Lonchura striata: one gene and its partner. The protein of the gene in region 1 purifies or fractionates together with the protein of each later gene. This does not show direct contact. Links are inferred from orthologs where the notes say so. Each region holds a gene or a part of one and is shown on either strand. Other genes may lie near its edges.

Region 1 (15,949 bases):
GATCAAATGGCCTGGCAAGCATTAATACTGGCGAGTCTGTTGTTTTCACAACTGCAGAGTTCACAGCTCGCAGCACATGTGAAATCACACACCTGCAGAAGAGCAAGTCCACTGAGAAGAGTTCTCTACTTGCTGTATGGGGCCCACACCTCACTTTGAAGTACTTCTAGTCAATCCACTTAAAGGAAGTTTTTAAAACCACTGATCCTCCTTATTAAACACTGAAGGAATACTAAAAGTAACACATTTTTAGTGAGAACTACATTAACTATGAGTTTCTAGACTCTGTTAATAAAAACTTTTAAAGCAGAAATTATATTTATGTAATGAATCAATAATCAATAATTATTACAATTTCTGATGTGGAAAAAATGAAATCATTCAAATGTTTTTCCTACCCTCAGTCCTCAAAAATCCATCTTATTTCTGTGTAACAGGCATATCCTAAACAAAGCTTATAGGACATGGCCTCCTTCAATACTACTATAAATCTAAATAAAGACACAGAATTATCTAAATGAGGATAGCAAAGAGGAGAACAGAGTGAGAAGACCTGAACCAAACTGCTCCCCAAGGTTTGGACATGACCAGGAAATAGACTCAGTAAACTAAGCAAAGAAATGTCTGTAGCAAGGGAAACTAGGAAGGTGGCCTTCTGTGTTGAAAAAAAATAAGATCAAAAAACACTTCTGCACCCCTAGCTACAATGCACTTGAAGACAGCATTTTCAAAAGAGAAAAAAGAAATTAAAATGGCATACAATTGTGATAGAAATCTTAAGATTAATGTACTGAAATTTAAATCATAATTAAAACAAAATTCTAAGCCTGAAGGATAAATCAGAGAAATAATAGAGGATAGTTATTAAGTATTTGAAATGAGGGACTGCTGAAGCACAGCAACAAATTTCACTGCAAGTAATCTCTTCCACATGTAGAAAATGAACAGATTCTTCATTTCAGGTTATTTAAATAGCTTGACTCAACTATTTATCCATTTAAAATGAAAGAACTGACTGGAGAAAAGCAAAATGCCCCCTTCCCACACTATGAAAACAACCAAACCAAAGCATCTGCTCCAAGTGGAACTGGACACAAACTTTCTATCAAAGCTTTACATCAGTTACGCCATCAACAGACACTACTAGAAGCATACAGGCAAAACCATGAAGTTCAGTACAGGCTACAAGAACTGTGGAACTTGGAGACACTTCTAAGTTCTGTATTTCTAATAGGAGAACTAAAGCTGCCTCCTTCGTAACTAGTTCAGTTGGAGCTGAAGCTAATACAGCATACACATACTCAGTGCAAAATTGAAAGGCTTACAGAAGATTACAACTGGTCTTACAACTGGCTGAAAATTCGCCTGTTTTAGTAACTACCAAGCAAAAAGAAACTAAATTTATTCAGAAAAAAAATCCAAGTACATATAAATTCAAACCAACACTTGAGGAATTTAAATCAGAATTAATGGTTAAAATAAACCATGAAAATCCCATCAAAGGTAATGAAGACAATATTTCAAGAGTGAAGTCAGACTGAAAAATTGTTTTGAAAAACCAGCAAAGCATGAAGTGTACACAAAAAAAGGATAAAAACATACTGTCAGCTCCCTTTGCAGTAAATGGGTTCATAAGTGGTATTACCCACAGAAAAAGTAATCTATTAGATCTAAAACATCTAATAAACAATCAGCAATCTTTCAAAGGGTCACAGCTACAAAACAGCAGACAAAATTCACATCAATGAAAGCTTCAGTTCACTGATGCCTACTTGCAGCATGCTTTGTTTCGAGATGGGTTTTATAAAGTTTTACAGAGAAATCATTCAAATCATCATTAGACTGGAATTAAAATTTTTCCACAGCATATAAAACATTAAACAATTTAGGGCAGGGTGTGCAAAACCGTACCACATGCATCTGAAACTGCAGGGGGATAGAGGTGATCAGAATATAATTACCTGAGCTAATTATCTTGCATAACCCCAAGCTGTATGCAACTCTTGCAAAATTGTCATGGGCTGCCTCATAGCCATGGGTCAAACCTTCTGTTTGAAATTCAGACAGAGACAGCAGTTGGAGAAGCAGCTTTTATTAATATTACTTTGGGACAAGCCCAATGTTCAGAGGAAGCAATGCAGCACATGAAACATCAACACCATTTCCTGAGTACTCTTTGGAGGTCTTATCCATTCACTGGATTAGCCCTTGGATTGCTTCCTTTGAAGGCCCTGGAACAGTGTGACAGCAAGGATAGCCAGCTTCGAACAGGATGCACCACGGCCTCCCAAAACAAACCATGGACACTTCACATGTCCTGACTTCAGAAAGCAGCCCAGACTGATCTGGCAAGATACATAAGAAGAATTCAAACTCGGGACAGCCTTTCAGAACCACAAAAGGATCACAAATGCCAACTGTATGGTATTTTGACAGAATCCTGAACAAAGACTCCTTCCAACAATTGCTCCATTTCCCTCTGCTCACAGCTGTATTAACACCACACAGCCAAGGAATGGCCTACATGACTCATTTTAGAACACTGATTTTTCCCTGCTAAATCCCAAAAGAACAGCAGACCACTAAACCAGAAAGAACCCGAGATTTTATTACACACCGAAAAGATGAGCTTCCCTGGGAGTCTTCCTTTAAATTAAATTGTTTGGAATAACTTCACAAGGCTTTATATTTCAGGATGTATTTCAAAGAACTGTAAAAGCATTAGCCTCTGCACCTTTACTGATGCCACTGCAAACTCAAACACAAAGGCAATGCAGTTCTTTAAAACAGTGATATTGGACCAGAGCTTTTTTCTTGAAGAAAAAGAAACAGGTGGCCAGCAAGTGTCATTTATCCAGCATAAGGAGGAAAATCTTTTTCTACAGCTTTATTCTAAACACCAGAGCATCCAGAACACTGTGAAAAATTACGTAGAGAGGGTCTTTCATAAACAAAAACTTGATTTTTAGAAAGCTCTATTGTTTATGTTAAAACTTGTAATTTAAGAGAAATCATAGTAAGTTTTACATTTTCTATGTTTTCACTGACCATTAAAGGCTTTTCGAAGAGTAAAATGTAGCAACAAGTTTACACTACAAAAGCTGAAATTATCACCCAGAAATCAGAAAAAACACTTCTATGCCTACAGACTGAGAAACCACAGTGAGAGACGCTGAAACACACTGGCAACACAGGGCACAGAAATGCTGCTTAGCTCTCCACCTTTCCACACTCCAGCACCCGATGTCACTCCTGCAGCCCCTGATTGCTCCCATTAGCGGTTAAGTACAATGGAGAGCTCTAGGTTGCACCGTGCAAGTTGAACAATGTTGGCAGCACTACTTTTAGGGAGGATCATGCTTTACAATTATCACCATGCCCTCAAGTAGCTCTTAAGGCACTGCTAATGCTTTCTTGGCTAATTAAATTAAGCTAACCTTGTATACATTTCTAAAATGTCTAACTTGTACACTGACATGATTTAAGAGTGTCTATTACACAATAAATTCTCGATCAACGCTTTTGATTTGTGCTTTGAGATGACTAAGAAAAATAATTTCAATTGCCAAAGAAGTGTTACAGCAATCACAACTCAGTGTCTGAAAACATTAGACATCAGTAATCAGACATCAGTAGATACAAAGTGCAAATTTAACCACTTATAGTCACAGGATCCTTGATGTTTTCGTAGTGTGAATGAAGTCCACTGAACCTATAAGCCTTCTGTTAAAATTCTGTGTCTCTGTAAAAGATTTTGATGAGCTTTTCTTGTCAGAATGCTTTAATATAAAGCTAGAACACTTCCCAAATTTTAATGCTCAGAAGATAAAAAATCTGTATTTTTATACACATATGTATAATTTGTATAACAACAGAATATATATTTATGTAAACATTGCTTGAGAATCTACTAAGTAGTGTGTAAATCAGTCCTGGAAACAGGAAGAAAACAAAGCCCAGTTTTTCCCCTCTGTATCCTCTCTATGCACTCTGCTATGACATTATCTCAGACAGTAAACTTCTTGGCTCCTTGATCCATTTAGTGAGGGATTTTGTTCATTTTAATCTGGCTTCTGGTAAGCAGACAGACACACATGTATTCATCTCCATCACTGACTGCATGGTCGCCAATCAATAATTCAAACCAGTTTACTTTTCAAAGCCTGACGTCATTGCTTTCTCCAAGCTGAGCGAGTACTACTGAGGGAATACACTGAACCAATAAAGGCATTTAGACTATTACAGTCCATTTCCACAAAACGTGTGTTGCCTCCAGATTCAGATCAAACAAAAAAGGACACTATTCACATATAACTCAGCAAAATATTGAAGCAGAAGACTAGAAACTTAAGTTCTTGGAAAAGGAGAGAGTCAAACCTATCCTTATAAGTGTATGCAAAAAACCCAAACAAATGGGGGAAAAAAAGCCACAAAAACAGTGTATCAGAAAAAGCCAAGTGGAAAAAATAAGAAGAAAATAGGAAATAGATACAGAAGAATTAGACAGCAAGTCCTATCCCCTCATTTAGTCTACTCAGCATCTTACAGGATGCCATTATGTCATTAACTCAGTTTTTGTTGCTAATAAGGAACAGACAGATGATCTTTTAAAATACATTCTGAAAGGTGGCTGCAAATATTCCCACAGAAGAGCAACTCTCAGGGAGTCCCAGTCAAAAGCTCGATGCAAGAAAGTTAAGTCATACATACTGCAAAGAAGAAGCGTCCCATCTCTGCCAGAGATCCAAACTCTAGCTGCCCATTAACCCGATTAACTGCTGGTAGCAAGGCTGGTTTCCTGATGTGACACCCAAAAGATCTAGAAAGGACAGACTGTTCCAGTCTACTAAAAAAAAAAAAAAACAAAAAAAAAAAAAAAACAAAAAAAAAACCCCACCAAGGGAAAAACAAAAAAAAAACAAAAAAAAAAAAAAAAAACCCCAAAAAACATACAACTGCATGAAGACGATCCCAGCACGCTCTTTCTGAACACAGCCTCACTATCAGTCTCCCGACAGTCACTTGCAAAAGCAAAGGCTTTGTCTCCCTACTGCTATACTTATTCATGTCCTAATCACTGAGATCCTTCTCTGGCACTACTTCAAGAAGATTCAGAAGCTCAGAAAGACACTGTATTGCTGACAGTACTTACATCTGAAGAATAAAAGGAGTTGTTCAAAACCAACTTTAAAATACAGTGAGATGTACATATTTTATAAAACACACTGGATGGGGGAAATAAGGAAAAAAACCTTCTTGGATAACTTCTGCTCATATATGGCAATTACATCTTAAAAGGAAAGAAAAAATCCACCTCAAACACATGAGCTGCCTTGTGGAGCAAAACAAGTTCATTCCCATGCACCAAAATTTACATTTAACTTTAGAAGAAATGCTCTTTTAGGTGTATGGGCAATATATTGAGAAGTATTTACAATATTTTACACTATTTCGCACAATCTCCTTTTCTCACACCATGACAATAACATAATTTGAACATTTTAATGATTTGTAGTAAAAGAACACTGTTCATGAATTAAAAATACTTGGAAAGAAGCCCAAGCTAGTTTTCATAGCAGCAGTAAACTCCCTGAGAAGTAAGCCAGTAAGGGTTACTTCAAACTTTGCTTCACAAACCACAAGACCCACGATCTGAATAAACAGAAACTGCACACTAGAACAAGCAGAACAGCTTTTTACAGCTATGGTACTGCATCCCCAGGAGTCCACTGAAATTAAACAAGGAAGAAATAGGGAACAAGTAAAAGTACGATGGGGGAAGGGAAGAACTGGGAAATATGAAAGAACTGAAAGAGAAGCACAGAAGGTATAGGATATTTCATCAGTGATTTGTATTTGGTTTAGTATTTTAGACCAAATGGATGGGGTAAAAGGTTTTGTGAGAATTCCAGGTGACATCCTTCTCACATGCCTCTGGCTGCTGCTGCTGTTTTTCTACTTGGTTGATTAACTTCCTCCTTTGCATGGCAGGGACAGTTGATGCACCACTGTCAAACGCTCAGACCCTCAAATTTCACTTCCAAATGTGCATTGTTTTTATTGATTTTTATTGCTTTTATTGAAAGACCTTTAAAGCAATACGTGAAGTTTCATCAACCAAAGAAAAAGTCCTGCCTACAATTCCTCCTGTGGGAGGAATTTCTTCACAGACAGGATCATTAAACATTGGGAACGGACTGCCCAGGGAGGCAGTGGAGGCACCAGCCCTGGACCTGTTTAAGGAAAGACTGGATGTGGCACTCGGTGCCATGGTCCGGTTGACAAGGTGGTGATTGGTCATAGGTTGGACTCAATGATCTGAGGTCTTTTGCAACCTCACCGATTCTGTGTTTCTTCGATAATTAAAAACAAAAATTGCAGGTTTTGTCAACAGAGCTGTTACGAGACAAGGAAGAAAGGGGACTCCCGAATTCTTTCTTCCAGTTCCAATTTACCAAATGCTAATTCTTCAAATCGGGCTGTAGAATTTCACTTGCAGTTAGCGTGTCTAACCCAAGCAACCACAAGAAGTTTGGCTGGGAAAGCGTTCAACTTAAACTTGACGGCAAAAATCACAGCCTCCGAGCCACAAAAACGGGGCGGGGGGCTTTCCCGAACACCAGCTTCCTCCAGTCGCAGCCGCCAGCCGAATCGAGGTCATTTAGGGAAAAGGGAAAAAAAAAAAAAAAAAAAAAAAAAAAGCAGGGGAAAAAAAAAAAAAGCACACACGCGCACACACACACACACACAAACACACATATATACACACACGAACCAAACCCGGGCCGAGGTTTATTGCGAAGTTGCTGCGGGCGCAGCTCCCAACTTTTGTCTGGCGGTGGCAGCGCCGGGCGCGGCCGCAGGGGGAGCCCCGCGCCGCCGGACCCCGCCGGACCCCCGCCCGCCGCCGGGCACCGGCACCGCGGCCGCTGCGCCCCCGCCCTGGCAGCGGCCCCGCCGCCCTGCCGCTGGCCCCAGAGGGACCGCGGCTCTCCGCAGCTGCCCCCCGCGTCCCTGCCGGCCCCGCCGTGCCTCCTCGGCTCGGGCTGCCCGCCGGCCCCAGGGTCCCTCCGACAGCCGCCAGCCGTCTCGGCAGCCGCCCCCCGCCGGCTCCCGTGCCCGCAGCCCCCCCCGCGCCGCGGCACCAGCGGCGCTGTCCCCAGCGATTCCCCGGCCTCGCCGCCTCCCTCCCTCCGGTCCCCTGTGGAGTCCCCGGTCCTCACCCGCGCTGCCGCCGCCTCCTCCAGCCCGGCCGCATCTGCCTTGGTGCCCCTCTTAGAAGAGCGGGTGCGGGACGAGATGAAATGGCTGCCGGCCCCGGCCGCCGCGGCCGCCGCTTTGCCCAGGGGGCGCAGAGAGCTCTTCCTGGTGTTCACCATGGCCCCGGCGAGGGGGGACACGGGGGGCGCCGCCGCCGCCGGCGCGGAGGGAGGAGGGAGGGAGGGCGGACAGGCGGGGGCTCGGGCAGGGAGGGGAAGGGGAGGGAGAGGGGGAAAGGGGGGAGGAGGGAGGAAGGAAGAAAAGCCCTCCGGGGAGGCCGCTCCGCCGGGCAGAGACGCAACCGGAGCCGCGCCGGCTCCTCCCGCCGCTGTCGCCGCCGCCTCTCGGGCTCAGCCCGGCTCTAACTGGCCGCCATTACTGTCCCTGCTCCCTTTCTCTGCTCGCTCTGCGCCGCCCCCGCCAGTCGCCGCCGGGGGGCGCTGCGGCCCCGGCGCGGCCGTTCTATCCCGGCGCCGCGCGCTCTATGGGCCCGGCCCGGCCCGGCCCGGCCCGGGGGAGGCGGCGGCGGCCGCGGGTCCCCGGGGAGCTGACCCGGGCCCGGCTTCGCTGCGGGCACCGAGCGCCGCGCAGCCTCACGGCCCTGCCGCGGCCTGGAGAGCGCCGGCTGGGCCTGGCCTGGCGTGACCCCGTGGGGCGGGGGAGCCGCCGCCGCCGCCGCCGCCCACTGAGGGCTGAGCCGAGGGCCGGGGAGGTCAAGGGCAGGGGGAGCGGCTGACGGGAGAAGGGCAGCCCCGGCAGCCGGCGCGGGGCTCCGCCGCCCGGCCTGGGGGGCTGGAGCCGCCTGCTCTGCTCGCCCCGGGAGGCTCTTGACAGGAGGTGACCGACAGCTTGGGCGAACAGATCTGCCGAGGACGAGATCTCCATAATTCCCTGTGGAAAAGTCTTTTCACACTCTGGTGAGCCTCATTTTTAAGAAATCACCTTGATACCAGGCTGTCGGGAGTGCGCCCTTCTCCCATCGCGCCCGTCACCGGCAGCGTCCCCCGTGTTTTGCCTCAACCTGCGTTTCATGTTCCCTGCTCGGTCCTTGGAAAGCTCACTGCTCCCCACCTCCCTCCTTATCGCAGATGCCTCAGAGGGGCGAAGAATACAACGCATTACTCTACACCGGCTGCCTAAATGCTTTTCAAATTACTCACAAACTATAACCCTGTTCATGAACCCAGTCCCTTCTTGTCGATGTAAGAATCATTCTCTCACCACTTGTTGCCCTGTACAGAACTTACGACAGTACGTGCACATAAGCCTGGAAACCAAAAGCTTTGTGAAGGAAATACAGCTGAGGAACACAAGCATACAGCTGTAGGTGACAAAGTCTCAACCTTTTAATTTTCACACTGACTGGTTTGGCACTGCTGGGCAAGTCATTTCAGTGCTTCTTACTTCTTTAACCAAAAAAAATAGTATCATGAAATTACTGAGCACGTGCTTCTGACTGTTAAGTTCAAGCAAGCTTTATCAAAGTATTTTTACTGTTTAAAGATGGAAAGTGCGATAATAATCTAGTAAAGAACAATAAATTTTAAAAACTATTATTCTGTTTTACCTGCATACTCCCACATCTTCCTCTGCAAGATTACAGTCTGTAAAAGTATGGTAGAATGTGTACTTAGAAAACATGCAACAATGACATCAGGCTATATAATAAGAAAAACAGCTTTTTAAATATCCAAGCAAAAACAAAAAATACTGTGACTAGCAGCAATTGTTTAGTTTTATGAGATACTCCAAAATACAGTGCATTTCAGAGTGGGAACTGTAATGTCTCATCTGACATTCTCTATTTAGAGCTTGTAATCTACGTTAGCAACAGTGCTTCATCTCCTGCCCCAGAATCACCAGTGTCTTTCAAAAGTAGAGTAGTTCTGCTCCATGAGATTGGTTTTGATAGGTTTGATATCCTTTGTTTCTAAATTTATTTGTTTAAAGGTTATGAAAGGACGTAGTAATTTCATACACTTGTAGATGAAAGGAGTATTTTAATTAAAAATCTACAAGGGGTTTTATGAATGGTATTTGGAAATCACATCTTTTTAGCCTTCAAAAGTAGGAATAGAAGGAAACTACAAGAGACTGCCCCTTACCAAATACCAAGACATATGTTAAGTAACAGTATCACATCATATATATAATGACAAATAATGTACTTTAAAATTTCTGTGCTGTAGTACTGATAGGCCATGAAACTCAGATATGGTTTTCAAATTCTACTGGTCTGGAAACAAATGTTGATCTTCAAGTTTTTGTACTCATCACAAAAAATATCCCCATTTTAGGAAAACCAACAGATGAGTGGCTCAAAAAAGGGCCCAGGCTGCAACAGTTACAGTGAATGTCATAACTCAGGATTGCAGTCATTGGCAGGGCTGTCTGGGGAAGCTTGCATAACATCTGCTTGCAACATGCCTGATTCAAACCAGCACTCTTCCTCTCATGAACACTGATGACTTATAAAAAGTAAAATAAACTCAGTCAATATGCAAGCAAAATTATTTTCCTGGGTGCCTCTCCAGATCTGCTTGAAATAACAGAAATTCTCCAACTCAAAAGCTATTTATTCTATATTTGCTAGGTATTTATACCACAGTTGTGTCCTTTTTTTAAATTTTTTTTTTTATGTGTTCTGATCTCGTTCCTGTGAGCCATACCCAGAGAGCACTCTTTATGATGCCGGAGGGACTACTGTGGAGAGATTGATGTAGTTAAAAATCCCTGATCTCTGCTTTGAACATCTGTAGTGCTTCATTCTCATTGTGTTAGCATGATAGGAAACATGGAAAGACATGCTTCATTTTGGATGTTAACTCCCTGTGTTGTTTTTCGCAGATGGTTTTGTTTACAGGTTTCTTAGTTGTCTTGTTCCTCTTAGAAGGTGTGGCTGGTTATTTTGACTCAAATAGCTTATGGCATTATAGCTTCCATGTCAGCCTCATCACCATTTTTAGTACTGACAATATAAATAAATCAGTCATAAGTTACAAGGTTTGCTTGGTAGCTTTGATTGGATTTTTTTTAAATGCAGAGAACATGTTAACATAGGATTAATATTTTATATCACACATACTTAGAGACTTAAATGTGGTTTTACAATGAAAGATGAATTACTGTAGAAAGGGATTTAGAATAATTTCACTAATCCAATAATTTACTTGTTCCCATTTTCTCTATCTGTTGTTGGTTCATATGGTGTCATATGAAGACAGAACAGCATTAGAAACCTATTTAGATTCCCTGCAGCACTTTACATGCAGGAGATGACTGGGGGGGAAAAAAAGTAAGAACTCTTGGTGGTGAAAGACAATGAAAAAAATAGGGGGAGAAGGACTGAAGCCACATTCCACTATGTATTACTTTAAAAAAAAATTGTAGAGCTCATCCAGTTTCAAGATGTCTAAATGCTTCTACAAATAAATGCCATTGGGAAGGACCATATTTCAAATAAAACCAGTTTATAATGAATGCTGAAGCTTACAGCAGTGTTCAATGTCCTTTTAACTCCAGTTGTTCAGAAAAAAGATTAAGGTATCTGAAAAATGTATTAAGAAGAAACCACACCATCTGCCAAGACAGGTACACTACTGGGAAATTGGTAAAATATGAAAAATGACTTGAGCAAAAGAGATGGGGAATGAAGCCATATCGGGACATCATGATGTAAAAAGACGTTAAAAAATTACCCAGGATGGAAAACCTTGTTGCTACATGAATGATACTTAATGACACAAGAAATATTTGGAGATGGATGATTTTGTTATCACATGTCCCTATTTTACCAGGAAATCAAGAATTAGAACAAAAGAAAAAGTCCTTCATCCCTTATTCAGAACTTTTGCAGAGAGTTTCTTTCTTGTAAGGACCAGAGGGCTCTATTCAGTGAATTACCATTTGCTTCAATCATAGGCAATTTACCAGAGATTACTTTGCAATATCTCTGAATAGCAGTAACATTCCAAAGAATGGAAATCAAATCATCTTTTCAGGCCTCTATTTATAAGCTCATATGTGTGCCTCTCAATCATGCTGTCAACTCCTCCTGGTTTCAGTTGAATCTTGAAATAAAAAAAGATTCACAAGAGATCTTGCTTTTGTACACGCATCCTAAGCTTTTTCCTGAGGGGCATGTTAGGAAATTAAGATTGTGTGGTTACTCCTTTGAGAACTGTCCATTATGAAGATAGGCCCATGGGATACCAGTTTGGAAACTTCAAATAAGCAGTGTCCAGGAATCAGGATTGGTACTACCTTGAACTGGAACAGAGAACATGGTGCAATCACTCCACATTGCAGGCAGTTTGCTATGTTATTATAGAAGGCTCATTATTTGAAGACTACCATTGTCATTTAAGAGTGGGTAATAGTTATGATTTCAAATTAAACACTCAATGTCCAGTGCCATTATCAGTGCACCTATCTGAAGACTGTTTTCCACACTAGATAATATCAGTGCAACTTGAAGAGGAATCAGAGAGTAGGTTTCTCAGATAACATTAAAAAGGAGTGGTAAAACTTCCCTCGTAATATTTCAAAATCATCTTGCCATCACATCTGGCCACTAGCTTCCATAATGTTTTTCCTGTTGAGCTAAGGTCACAGCAGATAGTTTTTCTAATAATAATAATTGTGTGAAACTCATAGGCTGATGGTATTGTAGCCAGGCATCTGCAGGGTCTGTTTTTCACTATCATTCAGGCTGTAAATTACTTCCATCTTGGACAAAAGTGGCAAATCATCTCACTTTGATGCTTATGATCATTAATCATATGAAAGTAGCACCACCAGCCTGTTACTATGCTGGGTGATGTATAGCTTTGTAGTAAAAACCAGACTCTGTCCTAAAACGCTCACAATAAAAATAAGCATTTATGAACACGTGTGTAGATAAGCTTCAGCACCAGACAAAAGTATAATGGCTTGATTAGGATCACATGGCAAGTCCATCAAAAACATTATTGGTTCATAAATCTCTCTAGTGCTCACACGCAATCTTAGGTTTCGAAGTGTGGGGTTTTTTTGTTACAGGTCCAAGAACAAGCTCATAAAATACACTACCATGTCATCATTGTAGTTTCACTTAAAAGTGTCTTTGAGAATTCACAATACATTATTTCCAAATGTGTGTTATCTGGTACAAACAGTTGCTCAGTCTGCCTTGAATTTTTCATGGGCTTATGCATTTCACACTTATTTTAAAATTGAAGGTATATTCAATTTTCTTGTGTACTTACAGTCCAAGAGTCCAGCAATGTGTGGATACTTCTTTCAATGCACGATTGTCATTAATGCTGATTCACCCACAAAACAATGACTTGCTTTTCCAGTGCATAGCTGACTTCCTAGAAACATTGGTTCCTTAAGCTACTCCCCTCTGTGTGGCAGCCTAGAAGGTTTAACATTCCTTCAAGGACCATTCATCCTATGCAGAGGAATGTGCTGTCTTTTAGTCAGTGGAATTGCCATTTGCAGGATAACCAGACCCTGTTCTCCTATTTATTTTGCAGTCCCAGTTCCTCACAGTGTGTTCCTACTCTGTGTGCACACACTTCGAAAAGGCTTCAGGCAACAGCTCGTCTCTCAAGTTAAGGTCAATCAATACGGCTGATGTTTAATTATAGGTAGCTGACAGTATCCTCTGGCATAGGCTAACCTTGTTAAATATAAGGTTTAAAAATATCCCTTCAAAATTAATTTTCTGTTTGTTTTTAGATGCCCTGTGTGTGCTGGTTCTTCTGTGACCTTGACAGGTCTGTCGGTGACAGCTGAAACCCTGCTTTACTTTTTCAACACTGAGATTCACTCCTACATTATAAAACAAGTCTGGGGGTTGTCACTATCTTCCACGCCACTGCATCTGATCTCTCCTGACAAAGGGGCAGAAGATGGTTGTATTCATCTCATGAATACCCTGCTAGAGGTTTTTCAGCAGACACAGTCTGGGCTGTTTGCTTCTATTCACCACACGGTAAGAAAAGGACCATTTGCTTCTGTTCATCTAGTGTACTGCCAGAGAATCAGCTGTATTAAATGCACAGAGTATAAAAGGATTTTAGTGATGTCTTGATTGTAACAACATTCTAACTTGAAAATTTCCAGCTTTAAAGAAAATATTTTTTACATTATATAAGAATTGCAGTTCTTTCTTAAGATTTTTGTTACTCCTGTGCTTTGTCAACAGTTTGACTCCTAAGGGAGGACAGCACTACTTAGAAGAGCTTTTAAGAAACCAAATTCACTAGGACATTGAGTCTTACTGTAGTAGGTCAGCATGTCTCCAGCTGTACTCTGATTTCCAGTAATAGACCTAATCTAAATCAATGACACCTCACCTCCTTCTATGCTTACCTTTGGGTCTGTCAAATTGTTGCTGAAATGGCCCCCAGGAAAGGGTTAAGCATATTAATGAACTTGTGTGTTTAATGAAATGGAGATAGTGCACTTCAAATAGTGAGAGAAAATTTAAAACAGTCCAGCACTGCAAAACAACTTTCTGATGTTTTAGCTTAGGGTTTTGTAAATTCCTTGACTTTTCTACAGTCATGGTATCTGTGGTTTAAGTTCTAAATTTCTAAAACCAGTTTAATGGAATCAGTAACCCTTGTAACAAAGAAGTATCTTCTAAAATGTCAAACTATTTTAAACATTAAACAAAACCAGGGAGAATAGAATCTCTGCAGTCCGTGTTTTGAAATATAAGACTCCATGTATTTTAACGGAAACAAAAGACAAATTTCTACCTTCCCTGAAGATTCATAAGCAGGAGCTCTAATTAGATCTCATGCAGTTAAAATGTAACAATCCAAACTGCCTTCAAAAGGATCAGTGCATTGTGACGTGCATTATAAAGAGAAATAAATTATAGCTGTCAAGTGTCAGATTTTACTTCTGTTACTCACCCATCACTGAACTTTGAGACTAAGCATCTTATTTTAATATTTCCGAACAATGTGATTTTAATTGTTGTGATTAAGGGATTGCAGAAACGTGTCCCACGTGAAGACGACACTCAATGAAGTTTTACCTCTGCTTTTAGAATTACATTTGATCGCACTTGTAAATTCACAGTGGATTTCCCATTAATTAGTGTGAATTAGATAGTTGTGGCTGTTCACTTTAGGTTAATTCTTAATGTTTTACAGTGCATCGCTAATTATTGATGGGTGGGGGGGGGAGACCCAACCCTTGTTAAACAGCCCGCAGGTGCAAGGGGTGCGTTCACTGTGCTCGGTGGGTGTTTCTAGGGGCTGGCAGCTTCCCCGCGGTATTGGCCTTGGATGCTTGCATAGCTCCTGGCACCACCACGGGACCTCCTCGTCCCGCAGAGAGCGGCTTCTCCAAGGCTCAACAGAGCGCAGAGAACTCGGCTCAGTCCTTCCCTCCCCGAGGATCCCATCCCATTTTCCCGTTTGCTTCCCAGACAGCGCGCCGCTCTTTTGTCCTCGGTGCGAGGCCGCGGCTGAGCTCCTTGTGACGGTGTCAGCGCTGGCCCGTAACTGGCGCCCGCCGCACCATGAGCCGCTCCCGCTCGCCAAAGGGCTCAGCGTGCGCTGCTCCACCGGGGCCAAACACGGGCACCATTCCCTGCTGTTGTAGGTGCCGCGGCTTGACAGACGGACGCTCAGACCGCGGCCTTTGTTCCGCAGCCGGGACTAAGTTCCTGAGACTTCGCAGTCTCAGGCCGGACAGGGATGTTTATCTCTGCTGCGTTGCGCCAGCTCCTGCCCAGACACCGCCGCAGCGACGCGGGGGTTCCGGCTCGTAAAGGCGGGTCGCGGCGAGCCGCAAACACCCCAGCCCTCGCCTCTTCCCGGAGGAGAGGACAGGGCAATCCCCGGGGAAGCCGCACTTCCCCCGGCACAGCGGCAGGGATCCTTACGGAGACCCCCCGGCTCCCCCGCAGCGCCGGGGCGGAGCTCTGCCCGCCCCGCCCGGCGCCGCCGCGCCTGCGCCGCTCAAGGCGGGACACCGAGGAGTTCCGCGGCGGGCGGTCCCGGGCTGGGCGCTGCGGGACGGGCGGTGAGTTCGCTGCGGGCACAGGCTGGGCAGGCGGCGCGTTTCGCGGAGCCGGTGCTCCCTCGGCTCCTGCGGGCGGGCGGGCTGAGCCTCCCCGCTGCCTCCGCCCTGCTCCGAATCGGCCGCGTTCTTCAGCAGGAGCGACCCTCGGGGGGCCCGGCCTGGCCCTTCCCGGGGCTCCCTGGCGATCTGCCTCCGCGTCGGTACCGGGGTATTGCCTCATCGTCTAAAAATACCTCCTGGCGGGCGGGCTGGGCAGCGGCGGGAGGCGCGGAGCGTGTGCCCGGCCTGGCTCTCGGGGTGCGGGTGAGCTCAGGTGTCGCAGCCGCGGGGTTGTCCCGAAATAGGTTCTTTGACTTGCTGTGCATGAGGCTTATCCACACACAGAGCCAAGGTACTTGATTCATTTGCGGTTCTGAGCCGAAAGAAGGGCTGCGTGGTAAATCCACAAAGCCAGCACGGCTGTCAAAACTTCTCACTCTTTATACATGTTAGCAAACATAGACTTTAATGCTCACTGGCTACAAGTTTGCATAGCTCTCTTATTAGTGAGTATTCTGACTTTATTGGTTAAATTGTTTCCTTCTCATGTTAAGTAGTCTGCGTGCTTGGTCTTCTTTTAGGTAGATGGTTTTCTTGAGTTGGTGATCTAAAAGTTGCT
Region 2 (16,767 bases), on another chromosome or scaffold:
ATTGGTGAAAAATGGGAATTGGGGGGATTGGATAAAAATGGGGAAATTATGGGGGGATTGGTGAAAAATGGGGAGAAACGGGGGATTGGTGAAAAATGGGAATTGGGGGATTGGTTAAAAATGGGGAGAAATGGGGGATTGGTGAAAAATGGGAATTGGGGGGATTGGTGAAAAATGGGGAAATTATGGGGGATTGGTTAAAAATGGGGGGAAAACGGGGGATTGGTGAAAAATGGGAATTGGGGAGAAAACGGGGGGATTGGTTAAAAATGGGGAGAAAACGGGGGGATTGGTGAAAAATGGGGAATTAGGGGAGAAATGGGGGGGATTGGTTAAAAATGGGGAAATTATGGGGGGGAAAATGGGGGGGATTGGTTAAAAACGGGAAATCAGGGGGAAATGGGAATTTGGGGGTGATAAAGGGAAATTTGGGGGGAAACTGAGAAATTTCAGGGTGAAAATGAGAAATTTGGGGGGAAAAGGGAAATTTGTGGCGGAAAATAAGAAATTTTGGGGTGAAAATGAGAATTTTGGGGGTGAGAAAGGGAAATTTGAGGGTCAAAAAGGGAAATTTGGGGGGAAAAACATTTGGGGTAAAAAAGAAAATTGAGAGGAAAAAGGAGAAATTTGGGTGAAAAAGGGGAAATTGGGGGGGGAAAGGGGAATTTGGGGGGAAAAATGGGGATTTTTTTGGGAAAAAGAGGGATTTGGGAGGGGAAATGAGGAATTTTGGGATGAAAATGAGAAATTTGGGGGTGAAAAAGGGAAATTTGTGGGAAAAAGGGGAATTTGGGGGTGAGAAAGGGAAATTTGGGGGTGAAAGAGAAGATTTTGGGGTTAAAAACAAGAAAATTGGATTAAAAAAGAGAAAAATGGGTTAAAAAATAAATTTGGGGTAAAAATGAGGAAAAATGAAATTTGGGCTTGGAAATGGGGGAAAAATGAAATTTGGGGTTAAAAAAGAGAAATTTGGGGTTAAAACCTGAAATTTGGGGTTAAAAACGAGGAGGAAATAGGGGGGAAGAGAAATTTGGGGTTGAAAATTGAGAAATAGAAAATTCAGGGTTAAAAAAGAGAAATTTGGGTTAAAAAAGAAATTTGGGGGCGGAAAAGAGAAATTTGGGGTTAAAAACAGGGTCAAAAAAGGAGGGAAAAGAGAAATTTGGAGTTAAAAATGGAGGGAAAAGTCACAATTTTTGAATTATGGGTACAAAAGAAACCCAAATCCCAGGCCCCAAAATTCCCTTTTTTACCCCCAAAATCCCTTCCAAAAGAGGAAGTGAAAACCTGTGGTTCAAAGAAATAAAAATAAATCAAATATACAAGAAAAAGTCCCTAAAAATCCCCCAAAATTAAAAAATTGGCAAAAATTCCCTTTAAAATGCCCCAGAATTGTTTAAAAAAATGAGAAAAAATTGAAATTTGAGATTCTCACCCCAAATTTCACTGAAGATTAAAAAAATCCTAAAAATTCCTTAAAATTCTGTTAAAAATGAGGCAAAAATCCTTAAAAAAAAAGAAAAAACCCAAATTCAGCCCTCACCGATCCGGAATTCAAGGGCAGAGTCCGATCCTGTTAAAATTTAATTTTTAATCTTGTTAAATATTAATTCCAGTGCTAAAACTTAATCTTAAGTCTTGTTAAATATTAATTTAAATTATTTTTAATTTTAAATGCTGCGGAATATTAATTTTAAAATAGTTTTGATGCTAAATTTTAATTTCCGATGCTGTGAAATTGAAATTTCAAATCAAAATTTAAGTTTTAATTTTTTAATCCTGTGAAATTTTAACCCAGGGAGGATTTTCCAGTCTAAAAGAGAGGAAAAAAGAAAATGGGGCAAATTCATGGAAATTGGGATTTGAGAGTCCAAATGGTGAAGAAATTTGGGGTTAAGGAAGGGGGGGGATAAAAGATAAAAAAAGGGGGAAAAGGAGAAAAAAAGGAGAAAAAAGGAGAAAAAAGAGGGGAAAACGAGAAAAAAAAGAGGAAAAGAGAGAAAAAAATTGGAGAGAAAAAAGGGAAATTAAGGAATTAAATTTCATTTTTAAAAATAAAATGAGAAAAAATCCAGGAAAGGGTTAAAAAAATCCAGAAAAAAAGGGGAAAAAAAACCTCGGGAAGGCTTAAAAAATGAAGGGGAATATGAGAGGGTTAAAAAAAAGTTGGAAAAGTGGAAAAAATGCAGGAAAAATTTTTAAAAAAAAGGGAAAAAAAGAGAATTTCTCTGGGGCGGCTCCAGTGCGGGAGCTCAAGGGTTAAACTCTGCCCCGGCCACGTCAGCACCGGAAAAGGGAATTAAAGGGGCAAAAAAAGCCCAAAAAATCGGATTTTTTCCCAAAAAATGGGGCCAGAGGGGTGGGGGGAGAAGGAAAATCCTGGGGGAATTAAAATGGCCCAAAATCCCCAAAAATTGCCCCAAAAAAAACAAGCTAAGGGGGAAAAAAGGAGGGGAAAAGGGGAAAAAAAAGGGGAAAAATAAAGAGAAAAATGGGATTTTTTGGGAAAAGAGAGAAGGGAGAAGTTGGGGGGGATTCCCTGAGAAAAAACAGCCCAAAAATGGGGAAACAACACCCAAAAAAAGCAGGAAAAGAGGGAAAAAAAGAGAGAAAAAAGGAGGGAAAAAAGAGAAAAATCAGATTTGAACGGGGAAAATCAAGCAGGAAAAATGGGGGGGGATTTACCTGCGCCAAAATCCTGAAATTTCACCCCAAAATTCCGGGATTTCTTCGAAATTTGGGATTTTTGAACCGAAATCTGGAAGTTTGCTGGGATTTGACCCCAAATTTGTTTGTTTTTTGTCCAAAATTTGAGATTTTTGCTCCAAAATTTGGGGTTTTTGCTCCAAAAATTGGGATTTTTGCCCAAAAAATTGGGATTTTTGCCCGAATGTTGGGGTTTTTGCCCAAATTTGGGGAGTTTTGCCCCGAGCGTGGCCGGGGCTGCAGCTGGAGCTGCTGACTCAGCGAATTGGGAATTTTCCTTCCCCTCTGGGCAGCGGCCAAGTGATGAAATCGCCTCAAATCCCCCCAAAATTTACATATTTTGGGTGGAAATTGAATTTTTTCTCCTTTTTTCCCTGTCCTTGGGGAGTTGAGGGGGTGAAAATCACAAAATTTTGGAGTTTTTGAGGATTTTTAGCCAAAAATTCCCCGTTAATTCTAATTTTTGCCAGCCAAAAATCCCCCAAATCGGAAGAAAAATGCAAAATCATTCAAATTTGGGGTGAAAATCCCAAATTTTGGGCAAATTCCGTACTAATTCCCATTTTTGTCAGCACAAAATTCTCAAATTCTGGGAAAATCCAAGATAATTCAGATTTTGAGAGAAAAAATCCCAAATTTTGGGCAAATCCATGCTGAGACCCAAATTTTTTCCTAAAATTCCAATTTTTTTCTCCTTTATTTCCAGATTTTCCCGATTTTTTTCTCCAAAATTTCATTTTTTCCCCATTTTTTTGGCTAAAATGCCGAATTTTCCCACTTTTTTCCCCAAAATTCCCATTTTTTCCCCAAAACTCCAATTTTTCTCCCTTTTCTCCTTTTTCCCCTGAAATTCAATTTATCTCCCCATTTTTCCCCAAAATTCCCATTTTTTCCCCAAAATTCCCATTTTTTCCCCAAAACTCAAATTTTTCTCCCATTCCTCCTTTTTCCCCCGAAATTCAATTTTTCTCCCCGTTTTTTCCCAAAATTCCCTTTTTTCCCCATTTTCCTCCCAAAATGCCCCTTTTACCCCGATTTTCCCAAAAATTCCCCTTTTTTCCCCATTTCCCCCCAATTTTTTCCTTTTTTTTCCAATTTCCCCCATTTTTTCCATTTTTCCCATTATTTCCCGTTTTTCCCCCATTTTTTCTCAGTTTCCCCATTCCTCCCATTTTACACCCGAGATTCCATTTTTTCCTGTTTTCCCCTCTTTTTTCCCCAAAAATTCTAATTTTTCTCCTAGTTTTTCCCCAAATTTCTCTGTTTTCCCCCATTAATTCCCTTTTTTTTTCTTGCGGTTTTTTCCCCCATTTTTACCCCAAAATTCCCCACTTTTGCCCATTTTTTCCCAATTTCCCCCATTTTCCCCCAAAATTCCTTTTTACCCCCATTTTTTCCTGTTTTTGCCCATTTTTTCCCACTTTCCCCCATTTTTTCCCAATTTACCCCATTTTTTCCCTTTTTTCCTTTTTTTCCCATTTTTGACCCATGTGTTTCCTGTTTTCAACCATATTTGCCCATTTTTTCCCATTTTCCCCGTATCCCCCCATTTTTTCCCTTTTTTTCCCGTTTTCCCCCATTTTTCCCCATTTTCTCCCAATTTCCCCCCATTTTCCCTGTTTTTACCCATTTCCCCCCGTTTTTCCCCATTTTTTTCCTGTTTTTTCCCATTTCCCCCCATTTTTTCCCATTTCCCCCCATTTTTCCCCCGTTTTTTCCCATTTTTTTCCCGTTTTCTCCCGTTTTTTCCCATTTTCGCCCCGTTTTTCCCATTTCCCCCCGTTTTTCCCCATTTTTTTCCCGTTTTCTCCCGTTTTTTCCCATTTTCGCCCCGTTTTTCCCATTTCCCCCGTTTTTCCCCATTTTTTTCCCATTTCCCGCGTTTTTGCCCTGTTTTTTTCCCGTTTTCCCCCGTTTTTTCCCGTTTTCCCCCGTTTTTGCCCATTTTCCCCCGTTTTTCCCCATTTTTTCCCGTTTTTCCCCATTTTTTCCCGTTTTTCCCCATTTTTTCCCCGTTTTTCCCCATTTTTTCCCGTTTTTCCCCATTTTTTTCCCATTTTCCCCATTTTTGCCCATTTTCCCCCGTTTTTCCCCCGTTTTTGCCCATTTCCCCCCGTTTTTGCCCCGTTTTCCCCCCGCTCCCGCCTCACCTGCCGCTCAGTGGGGGAGGGGGCTCCGCCTCCGGCTCCCCCCTCCCCCCCCGAGGCTCCCTCGGGAATTTTGGGGCAAAATTCCGGAATTTGGGGCTCCTGGAGGGGGGCGGGGCCGGGACCTCCTGGGGAAAAAGAACAAAAACGGGAAAAAATGAAAATTCCCAAAATTCTGAATTCGGGGAGGGGTTGGAGGGAAAACCAAAAAAACCCAAAAATACCAAAATTAAAACCCCAACAAATCTAAATAAATCCCCCCCAAAAAATCCCAAAATCCCCAAAAAAATTCCCAATAAAACCCCCCAAAAAATCCCAATAAATCTCCTCGAAAAGCTCCAAAATCTCCCCAAAAATCTCCAAAAAAATTCCACCCAAAATCCCAAAATGCTCTCCAAAACGCCCCCAAAAAAACCCCAAATCCCCCCAAAAATCCAAACAAATCCTCCCAAAAAAATCCTCAAGAGTTCCTAAATAAATCCCTTTAAAAAGCCCCAAAATTCCAAATAAACCCCAAACCCCCCCACAAAACCCAAAAAAAAATCCCCTAAAAATTCCCAATGAACCCCCCAAAAACTAATTCCAAAATCCTCCCAAGGAACCCCAAAAAATCCCCAAATTTCCCCAAATTTCCCCAAATTTCCCCCCGCCGCCATTTTGGGGCTCAGCCGCTCCCCCTCAGAAAAGGCCCCAAAACCCCAAAAATCCCCAAAAAATCCCAAACGCGGCCGCGCCCGCCGCCCCTCCCCCCCCAGCACCTCCGGGGGCTCCCCCCCAGCGCCGGGACCCCCCGAAACCCCCAAAAAGTCCCAAAAACCCCCAAATTTCCCCCAAAATCCCGGCCCCCCCCGCCCCCCCCCGTACCGGCGGCGCCTTCCCGCGAGCGCCGCCACTTCCGGTCCGGCCGCGAGCGCCGCCACTTCCGGTCCGGCCGCGAGCGCCGCCACTTCCGGTCCGGCCGCAGCGGAAGCGGCGCCATGGCGACGCCAGGCCACGCCCCCTCGCCGCCGGCCAATCCGAGCGCGCCAAGACGCGCGGTTGATGCAAATGAGGCGGCCTCACGCGTGGCCACGCCCCCTTTGAGCGCGGCGAGAGCCACGCCCCCTTTAACGCAGATTAAATCCAGCCACGCCCCCTCACGAAGCCACGCCTTTTCTGGTTAATTAGCGCGTTAATTAATGATGCGCCGTTAATGAAGCGCTCCCCTTTCCGGGTCGCGGAGGGAGCGGAAGTGACGTCAGGGAAGGGGCGGGGCCGGCGGAGTTTCCCGCGCGGCGCCGGGAGGAGGTGGGGGAGGGGTGGTGCAGATTTGGGAGAATTTTTGGGGCTTTTTGGGGAAATTTGGGGATTTTTTTGGGAATTCTGGGGGTAGGGGAGGCAGAGGAGGGAGGGGAGGAATTTTGGGAGGATTTGGGGGGAAATTTGGGATTTTTGGGGGGAATTTGGGGAAATTTGGGGATTTTTTTGGGTGTTTTTGGAGGAAATTTTGGGGGGGAGGGGAGGCAGAGTTTTGGGGGGAATTTTTGGGAGACTTTGGAGGAAATTTGGGATTTCCGGGGAGAATTTGGGGAGACTTTGGGAATTTTGCGGCAGATTTGGGAGAGTTTTTGTGGGATTTGTTGGAGCATTTTTGGTTCATTTTTGGTGTGTTTTAGGTGCATTTTCTGAGAGCTTTTGGGATAATTTTGGGGTGTTTTGGTGTATTTTTTGGGTGTTTTTCGTGCAATTTTGAGGCTGTTTTTGGTGTATTTTTTGGCTTTTTTTGGTGTATTCTGGGGCTGGTTTTGGTGTATTTTTTTGGGTAATTTTTGCTGTATTTTTGTTGTATTTTTGGGCTTTTTTTGCAGGAGTTTTGGGTAATTTTGGGGGCTGATTTTGCTGTATTTTTGGGTAACTTTTAGGCTGGTGTTGCTGTATTTTTGGGGTAATTTTTGGGGCTGTTTTGGGGTAGTTTTTGCTGTATTTTTGGGCTATTTTGCTGTATTTTTGCTGTATTTCGGGGCTGTTTTCACAGGTTTTTGGCCGTTTCGGGTCCGTTCCCCGGATGGAGCCCCCGGCCCGGTTCTGGTTCCGCTCCCGCCCCGAATTCTGCCCCGAGTGCGGCTCCGTCCTGCCCCGGCCCGGCCCCGGCAGCTGCTGCCGCTGCCCCCGCTGCGGGCTCGGCCTGCGGAGCTCAGGTTTGGGGCAAAAAACCCAAAATAAATCCAAAATCCAAAAAAATCCCCAAAGAAATCGAGAAATCCTGAAAAAATCCCATTAAAATCCCATTAAATCCCATTAAATCTCATTGAAATCCTGCCCCCGCTGCGGGCTCGGCCTGCGGAGCTCAGGTTTGGGGCAAAAAACCCAAAATAAATCCAAAATCCAAAAAAATCCCCAAAGAAATCGAGAAATCCTGAAAAAATCCCATTAAAATCCAAAAAATCCCATTGAAATCCCATTAAATCTCATTGAAATCCTGCCCCCGCTGCGGGCTTGGCCTGCGGAGCTCAGGTTTGGGGCAAAAAAACCCCAAAAAAATCCAAAATCCAAAAAAATCCCCAAAGAAATCGAGAAATCCTGAAAAAATCCTGTTAAAATCCAAAAAATCCCATTGAAATCCCATTAAATCCCATTAAATCTCATTGAAATCCTGCCCCCGCTGCGGGCTCGGCCTGCGGAGCTCAGGTTTGGGGCAAAAAACCCAAAATAAATCCAGAATAAACCCAAAATCCAAAAAAATCCCCAAAGAAATAGAGAAATCCTGAAAAAAATCCCGTTAAAATCCCATTAAATCCCATTGAAATGCTGCTCCCGCTGTGGTCTCCAATGATCAGGACTTTTTCCCCATTTCCCCCCAAAATTCTAAATTTCCCCACTTTTTCCCCAATTTTCCCTTGTTTTTCCTTGTATATTCCCCTTTTTTCCCTGTATTTTCCCCAGTTTTTCCCCATTTTCCCTGTATTTTTCCCCGATTTTCCCAATTTTTCCGTTTTTCCCTGTACTTCCCCTGTATTCCCCAATTTTCCTGATTTCCTCCATTTTCCTCCATTTCTCCCCGTATTTTCCCCGTTTTCTCCCCATTTTCCCCACGTTTTTCCCGATTTTGGCGTTTTTCTCCCCAGATCTGCGGCCGGGCCCCGTCCGATCCTCGCTGAGCTTCGCCGGGGGGGGGAGGGGCAGCGCCGGCCCCGCCCCCCAGGAGGGACCCACGGTGAGGGGGGGCGGGGCCCCCAAATCCCAAAAAATCCCCCAAAATTTCCAGAAAAATTCCCCCAAAATTCCCAAAAAAACCCCCAAAATTCCAGAAAAAAATCCCCAAGATTTAAAAAAAAATTCCAAAAAAATTCTCAGAAAATCCCCAAAAACCCCCCTCGAAAAAAAGCCCAAAATTCCAGAAAAAAAATATTCAAAAATTCCAAAAAAATTCCCCCCAAAATTAAAAAAAAATTCCCCAAAAAATCCTGCAAACCCCCCCCCCAAAATTTCCAGGAAAAAATCCCACAAAATTCCCTGAAAATTTAAAAAAAGTCCACAAAAATGCCTATAAAATTAAAAAAAAAAAAAACAGACAATTCCCCCCAAAATTGACAAAAATTTGAAAAAAAAAAATCCCCCCCCCAAAAAAATCCAGAAAAATTCCAGAAAATTTCCCAAAAATTTGACCAAAAATTCCCCAAAAAATTTTGATTTTAGGGTAAAGAGATTTTTGAGGTGAAAAATGGGAATTTTGGGGTGAATTAATGGGATTTTCGGGCTTAAAAAGGGATTTGGGGGTGAAAATGGGATTTTTGGGATGAATTAATGGGATTTTGGGATATTTTTGAGGTGAATAATTTGATTTTTAGATGTTTTACCTGGACAGGATCTGTCCCCGCTGTGCCCACCCAGGGATGTCGTTCCACACGGGGATCCCATGGATTTCATGGGATTTTTGGGGTGAATAATTTGAATTTTGGGATATTTTTGGGGTGAATAATTTGAATTTTGGGTATTTTAGGTGGACAGGATCTGCCCCCGCTGCGCCCACCCAGGGATGTGGTTCCACACGGGGATCCCATGGATTTCATGGGATTTTTGGGGTGAATAATTTGAATTTTGGGATATTTTTGGGGTGAATAATTTGAATTTTGAGGTGAATAATTTGAATTTTAGGTGGACAGGGTCTGTCCCCGCTGCGCCCACTCGGGGATGTGGTTCCACACCCGCCAGATGCGCTCGGCCGACGAGGGGCAGACGGTTTTTTACACCTGCCCCCGCTGCAGGTGAGAGCCCCAAATAGCCCCAAAATATCCCCAAAATATCCCCAAAATATCCCCAAAATATCCCCAAAATGTCCCCAAAATATCCCTGAAATATTCCCAAAATAGCCCCAAATATCCCCAAAATATCCCCGAAATATTCCCAAAATATCCCTGAAATGTCCCCAAAATGTCCCCAAAATATCCTTGAAATATTCCCAAAATAGCCCCAAATATCCCCAAAATATCCCCAAAATATTCCCAAAATATCCCTGATATATCCCCGAAATATTCCCAAAATATCCCCAAAATGTCCCCGAAATATCCTTGAAATATTCCCAAAATAGCCACTAAATATTGCCAGAATCTCCCCAAAATATCCCCAAAATATTCACAAAATATCCCCAAAATATTCCCAATATATCCCCTGACCTATCCCAAAAATAACCCCGAAACACCCCCAAAATAATCCCCAAAAAAAACCCCAAAAAGCCACAAAAATTCCCCAAAAAACCCCTCACATTTCCCTGAAATCCCAAATTTCCCCAAACCCCGAATTTTCCCCCAAAATTCACCCCAAATTTCCCGAATTTCTCCTGACCCCTCCCCTTTTCCCGCAGGTTCCAGGAGAAGGAAGATTCCTGACATTTGGATTTTTGGGGGATTCTTAAGGGAGGAATTTTGGGTTTTTTGGGGATATTTTTTTAATTTTTGGGAATTTTTTGGAGGGATTTTTTGGGATTTTTGGGGCATTTTCTGGAATATTTTGGTGCTTTGGGGGATGTTTTGGGAATTTTTCGGCCGTTTTTGAGATTTTGGTGCTTGAAGAGGAATCGAAGCGTCCCGCTCCCAAATTCGGGGCGGAATTTGGGGATTTTTTGGGGGAATTTTGGGGATTTTTTTGGGAATTCGGTGCCCTTGGGCGCGCACCGGAAGTGGCCGCGCAGGGGGAGCGGATTCTCCGCCGGGCCCACCGGAAGCGGCGCTCTCCGCGCACCGGAAGTGGCCGCGCAGGGGGAGCGGATTCTCCGCCGCGCCCACCGGAAGCGGCGCTCTGCGCGCACCGGAAGTGGCCGCGCAGGGGGAGCGGATTCGCCGCTTCACCCACCGGAAGCGGCGCTCTCCGCGCACCGGAAGTGGGGGCGGCCTCGGCCCGGCCCGGTTCCGCTCCCGGCCCGGCCCGGTGGCGGCGGGAGCCCCGGGACCCCCCGCGGCCATGGCGGAGACGGCGGAGAGCGGCGGCTGCGGCACCGCCACCGTCACCGAGAGCGGGAACCCCGAGCCGGTACCGGCCCGGGGGGGCGGGGAGACTGGGAGGGACTGGGAATGGGGGATGAGGTTACTGGGAGGGACTGGGAGGGAACTGGGATATACTGGGAGGGGTTTGGGGTCACTGGGAGGGACTGGGAGGGACTGGGGTTACTGGGAGGGACTGGGGGGACTGGGATGGGATTGGGAGGGATTTGGGATATACTGGGATGGGGTTTGGGGTTGCTGGGAGGGACTGGGAGGGACTGGGGTCACTGGGATGTACTGGGAATGGGGGATGAGATTACTGGGATGGGGTTTGGGGTCACTGGGAGCGACTGGGATATACTGGGACTGTCTGGGCGAGGTTTGGGGTTGCTGGGAGGGACTGGAAGGGGACTGGGAGGGAACTGGGGTTACTGGGAATTACTGGGAATGGGGGACAACGTTACTGGGAGGGATTTAGGGTTACTGGGATGGGGTTTGGAGTCACTGGGGGGGACTGGGAGGGACTGGGGTTACTGGGATGTACTGGGAATGGGGGATGAGGGTACTGGGATGGCATTTGGGGTCACTGGGATGTACTGGGAATGGGGGATGAGGGTACTGGGATGGGGTTTGGGGTCACTGGGATGTACTGGGAGGGATTTAGGGTTACTGGGGCAGGGTTTGGGGGCACTGGGAGGGACTGGGATGTACTGGGACTGTCTGGGCGAGGTTTGGGGTTACTGGGATGTACTGGGAATGGGGTTTGGGGTTACTGGGAGGGGTTTGGATACTGGGAATGGCCCCTGGGGACACAGTGTGACCTCTGACCCCTGGCTGACCTCTGGCTGACCCTTGACCCCTGGCTGACCCCTCAGGAGCAGCGCAGCCTGACGCTGAAGCTGGGGGGACACTGAGTGACCCCTGTGTGACCCCTGACCCCTGTGTGACCCCTGACCCCTGTGTGACCCCGCAGGAGCAGCGCAGCCTGACGCTGAGGGGACACGGAGTGACCCCTGTGTGACCCCTGACCCCTGTGTGACCCCTGACCCCTGTGTGACCCCTGACCCCTGTGTGGCCCCGCAGGAGCAGCGCAGCCTGACGCTGAGGGGACACGGAGTGACCCCTGTGTGACCCCTGACCCCTGTGTGACCCCTGACCCCTGTGTGACCCCGCAGGAGCAGCGCAGCCTGACGCTGAAGCTGAGGAAGAGGAAGCCGGACAAGAAGGTCGAGTGGTCGAGCGACACGGTGGACAACGAGCACCTGGGCCGCCGCTCCTCCAAGTGTGAGCGCCGCGGGCCCAGAACGGACCCAAATCCACCCAAAATCTGCCCAAAACTGGCCCCAAAACCGACCAAAACTGGCCCCAAAATCTGCCCAAAAATGGACCAAAAACGGACTGAAAATGGCCCCAAAATCTGCCCAAAAATGGACCAAAACTGGCCCCAAAATCTGCCCAAAAATGGACCAAAAACGGACTGAAAATGGCCCCAAAATCTGCCCAAAAATGGACCAAAAACGGACTGAAAATGGCCCCAAAATCTGCCCAAAACGGCCCAAAAAATGGACCAAAAATGGACTAAAAATGGCCCCAAAATCTGCCCAAAACGGCCCAAAAATGGCCCCAAAATCTGCCAAAAAATGGACCAAAAACGGACTGAAAATGGCCCCAAAATCTGCCCAAAAATGGACCAAAAACGGACTGAAAATGGCCCCAAAATCTGCCCAAAACGGCCCAAAAAATGGACCAAAAATGGACTAAAAATGGCCCCAAAATCTGCCCAAAACGGCCCAAAAATGGCCCCAAAATCTGCCAAAAAATGGACCAAAAACGGCCCAAAAATGGCCCCAAAATCTGCCCAAAACAGCCTCAAAATCCACCCCAAAATGGCCCAAAACCAGCCCCAAAATCTGCCCAAAAATGGCCCCAAACCCGCCCAAAAACGTCCCAAAACCAGCCCCAAAATGGCCCAAAAATATCCCAGAAATATCTGCCAGAACGGTCCAAAATTAACCCAAAAATGGCTCAAAAATATGTGCCAGAATAGTCCAAAAACGGCCCTAAAGTAGCCCCAAAGTGGCCCAAAAATATCCTGAAAATCTCTGCCAGAATAACCCAAAAATTAACCCAAAATTGGCCCAAAAAATAGCCCAAAAATTGACCAAAAATACCTCCCAAGATAACCCAGAAATGGCCCAAAAACAACGCAAAAACACCCCCCAAAACTGCCCAAAGCCCCCCAAATTTCACTGAAATCCTCCCAAATCCCCCCAAAATGCCCCCAAATCCTCCAAACTCCCCAAATCTCCCCCAAATCCCCCCAAATTTCACCCAAACCCCCCAAATTTCCCCAAACCCCCCAAATTTCCCCAAACCCCCCAAATTTTGCCAAACCCCCCAAATCCCCCAAACCCCCCAAATCCCCCCAAATCCCCCAAATTTCCCCCAATCCCCCCAAATCCCCCCAAATCCCCCAAACCCCCCCAAATCCCCAAATCCCCCCAAATCCCCCCAAACCCCCCCAAACCCCCCAAATCCCCCCAAATCTCCCAAATTTCCCCCAAACCCCCCAAACCCCCAAATCCCCCCAAATCCCCCAAATTTCCCCAAATCCCCCAAATTCCCCAAATCCCCCCAAACCCCCCAAATCCCCCAAACCCCCAAAATTCTCCCCAATCCCCCAAATCCCCCAAATTTCCCCAAATCCCCAAATTCCCCAAATCCCCAAAATCCCCCAAATCCCCCAAATTTCCCCAAATCCCCCCAAATCCCCCAATCCCCCCAAATCCCCCCAAACCCCCAAATTTCCCCAAACCTCCACAAATTTCCCCAAACCCCTCAAATCCCCAAATCCCCCAAATTTCCCCAAACCCCCAAATCCCCCCAAATCCCCCAAACCCCCAAAATTCTCCCAAATCTCCCCAAATCCCCCCAATCCCCCAAACCCCCCAAATCCCCCCAAACCCCCCAAACCCCCCCAATCCCCACCCCCCATCCCCACCCCCCACCCCCAATCCCCCAGCCCGTCTCTCGGCCTCTCTCCCCAGGCTGCTGCATCTTCGAGCGGCCGCGGCCCTTCGGCGAGAGTTCCTCGGAGAGCGAGGGGGAGGGGGAGGGGCGGGGGGGGGAGGGGCGCGGCTGCGGCCACCAGAACTGCGTGCGGGGCCACCGGCACACGGGGGGGAGGGGCCCCCCCAAACCGCCCCTCCCCCCGCCCCGCGAGCCGCCCGTGGCCATGGAGCACTGAGGGGCCCCTCCCCCACCCCAAACCGCCCCTCCCCCACCCCAAAATCCGCCCCTCCCCCACCCCAAAACCGGCCCCTCCCCCACCCCAAAACCAGCCCCTCCCCCACCCAAACCGCCCCTCCCCCACCCCAAAAATCTGACCCCCACCCCAAAACCCGACCCTCCCCCACCCCAACGGAGCACTGAGGGGCCCCTCCCCCACCCCAAAATCCGCCCCTCCCCCACCCCAAAACCCGACCCTCCCTCACCCCAAAACTGCCCCTCCCCCACCCCAAAATCCGCCCCTCCCCCACCCCAAAAATCTGACCCCCACCCCAAAATCTGACCCTTCCCCACCCCAAAAACCCGACCCTCCCCCACCCAAAAAATCCGAGCCTCCCCCATCCCAAAATCTGCCCCTCCCCCACCCCAATGAGCACTGAGGGGCCCCTCCCCCACCCCAAAAATCCGACCCTCCCCCACCCCAAAATCTGCGGGGGGGACCCCAAAATGTGCCCCTCCCCCACCCTGCCCCTCCCCCACCCCAAAAATCCGCGGGGGCCCCCAAAATCCGCCCCTCCCCCACCCCAAAATCCGCCCCTCCCCCACCCCAATGGACACTGAGGGGCCCCTCCCCCACCCCGCCACGGATTTTGGGGGGTCGGCGCCAAAATTCCGGAGTTTTAGGGCCAAATTTTGGGAATTTTAGGGTTAAAATTACAGGGGTTAAGGGCCAACATTTGGGAGTTTGGGGGTTAAAATTCCAGAATTTTAGGGCCAAATTTTGGGATTTTTAGGGTTGAAATTTTGCTGGTTTAGAATTAAAATTCCAGGGATTTATGGCCGAAATTCGGGGGTTTTCGGGTCTAAATTTGGGAGTTTTAGGGTCATAATTTCTAAGATTTTCCCCCCAAAATTCCGGAGTTTTAACACCGAAAATTCCGGCTGAAAAATTCGGAATTTCAGCCCCAAAAATTCCAGCATTTCAGCACCAAAAATCCTGGAATTTCAGCCCCAAAAGTTTGGAATTTTAGCCCAAAAATTCTGCAGTTTCAGCCCCAAAAATTTTCCCCCCAAATCCAAAATTTCACTGCCTGGACCGCCCCCCAAAATCTCACCTGGACCCCAAAAATGTCACAAAACCCCCAAAAATGTCACCAAAAACCCCAAAATTTTTACCTGGACCCCCCCCAGGGACATTAAATGACACCGGTGATGCTTTTTGGGTTTTTTTGGGTTATTTTGGGTTTTTTGGGTTTATTTGGGGGGGTCCCGCGGGGGTGGGGGAGGGGCGGCGTCCGCTCGCAGTTGGGCCCCGAGGCTGTGGGGACAAAAAAACAAAAAATACCCAAAAAATGGGTGGGGGAGGGGGAAAAAAATCCCGAATTTTTTATTTTTTTGGTGGGGGAAAGGGGAAAAAATCCCGAATTTTTTTAATTTTTTGGTTGGGGGAGGAGGGGGAAAAAAATCCCTTTTTTTTTTTTTTTGTGGGGGAGGGGGAGGGGGAAAAAAATCCCGATTTTTTTTTTTGGGGTGGGGGAAGGGAAGAAAAAAATCCCAAATATTTTTGGGGCGCCGGGGGAGGGGCAGCGCAAAAACAAAATTTGTCACCCCCCAAAAATGTCACCGGGCCGGGTGGGGGAGGGGCGGGGGCGCCCCGGGGGGGGGAGGGGCGGGAGGAGGCGGCACGTGAGGGGAGGGGGAGGGGCGGGGATCCCCAAAATTCCCCTCCCCCAGCGCCGGATTCGGCAGGGATGCAACAGCGCCCAAATCCCCCCCAAAATCACCCAAATTCCCCCCAAAAGTCACCTCAAATTTCCCCCCCAAAATCATACAAATTCCCCCCAAAAATCACCCCAAATTCCTGCCAGAAATTCCACAAAATTCCCCCAAATTACCCACAAAAAATCATCCAAATTCCCCCCAAAATTCCTCTCAAAAATCATACAAATTCCCCCCAAAAGTCACCCCAAAATTCCCCCCAAAATCAACCCAAATCCCCCCAAAACTCCCCCAAAAATCATCCAAATTCCTGCCAGAAATTCCACAAAATTCCCCCAAATTACCCCCAAAAAATCCCTTAAATTCTCCCCAAAAATCCCCCAATTCCTCCCTCCATGTCCCTAAATCTCCCCCCAAAAATCAAAACTCTTCCCAAAAAAACCCCGAATCTCCCCCCAAGTTTTCCAAATCTCCCCCAAATCTCCAAAAACCCCAAAATCTCCCCCAAAAACCCCAATTTTCCCCAAAAACCCCAAATTTTCCCTTCCCCTCCCGGCTCTGCGCCGTCCCCATGTCCCCAAACTCCTCAAAACCCCCAAATCTCCCCCTAAAACCCCCCAAAATTCCAAAAAAACCCCAGAATTCCCCAAAATCTCACCTGGTCCTGCTGGTCTTGCGCCCTCCCCATCTCCCCAAACCCCCAAAAATTCCCCAAATTTCCCCAAATTTCCTCTTCCCCTCCTGGCTCTGCGCTGTTCCTGCTGTCCCCGTGTCCCCAAACCCCCCAAAAAACCCCAAAAACCCCCAAAATCCCCCAAATCTCACCTGGTCCTGCCAGTCCTGTCCTGTCCCTGCTGTCCCCATGTCCCCAAACCCCCCAAAAAAACCCAAAAACCCCCAAAATTCCCCAAATTTCCTCTTCCGCTCCCGGCTCCGTGCTGTCCCCGCTGTCCCCGTGTCCCCAAACCCCCAAACCCCCACAAAATACCCTAAAAAAAACCCCCAAAATCCCCCAAAATCTCACCTGGTCCTGTCGGTCCTGCGCTGTCCTCGCGCTGTCCCCGTGTCCCCAAAACTCCCCAAAAACCCCAAAAATCCCCAAATTTCACCTTCCCCCCTCCCGGCTCTGCACTGTTCCTGCTGTCCCCGTGTCCCCAAACCCCCCAAAAAACCCCCAAATTCCAAAAAATAACCCAAAATCCCCCAAATCTCACCTGGTCCTGTGGGTCCTGCGGCGTCCCCGCGCTGTCCCCGGTGCTGTCCCCGCTGTCCCCGTGTCCCCAAACCCCCCAAAAAATCCCCAAATTCCAAAAAATAACCCAAAATCCCCCAAATCTCACCTGGTCCTGCGGGTCCTGCAGCATCCCCGCGCTGTCCCTGGTGTCCCCACTCGTGTCCCCATGTCCCCAAACCCCCCAAAAACCCTCCCAAAAACCCAAAAAACCCAAAATCCCCCAAATCTCACCTGGTCCTGTGGGTCCTGCGGCGTCCCCGCGCTGTCCCGGCGCTGT

The links.
Region 2: the proteins of UBXN2A (region 1) and PPP1R11 purify together in Homo sapiens (affinity purification with mass spectrometry; 3 studies listed by BioGRID and IntAct, counting the BioPlex papers as one, with this or other methods). This does not show direct contact. The link is inferred for Lonchura striata from reciprocal best matches to the Homo sapiens genes UBXN2A and PPP1R11.

The regions. Positions count from the first base shown.
Region 1 is NC_134605.1:106,722,329-106,738,277, forward strand, and holds the start of UBXN2A (UBX domain-containing protein 2A), read left to right. Parts: upstream 1-7,990; 5' UTR 7,991-8,177; intron 8,178-12,984; 5' UTR 12,985-13,240; intron 13,241-15,213; exon of another isoform or gene 15,214-15,291; intron 15,292-15,318; exon of another isoform or gene 15,319-15,499; intron 15,500-15,949. Other genes in the region: ATAD2B (ATPase family AAA domain-containing protein 2B), read right to left, coding at 7,224-7,379. UniProt on the Homo sapiens protein: Acts to repress the ubiquitination and subsequent endoplasmic reticulum-associated degradation of CHRNA3 by the STUB1-VCP-UBXN2A complex in cortical neurons.
Region 2 is NC_134631.1:180,604-197,370, forward strand, and holds PPP1R11 (E3 ubiquitin-protein ligase PPP1R11), read left to right. Parts: upstream 1-10,198; 5' UTR 10,199-10,289; coding exon 10,290-10,358; intron 10,359-11,484; coding exon 11,485-11,593; intron 11,594-13,356; coding exon 13,357-13,556; 3' UTR 13,557-13,784; downstream 13,785-16,767. Other genes in the region: POLR1H (DNA-directed RNA polymerase I subunit RPA12), read left to right, coding at 6,898-7,030, 7,958-8,307, 8,988-9,097, 9,694-9,718. UniProt on the Homo sapiens protein: Atypical E3 ubiquitin-protein ligase which ubiquitinates TLR2 at 'Lys-754' leading to its degradation by the proteasome.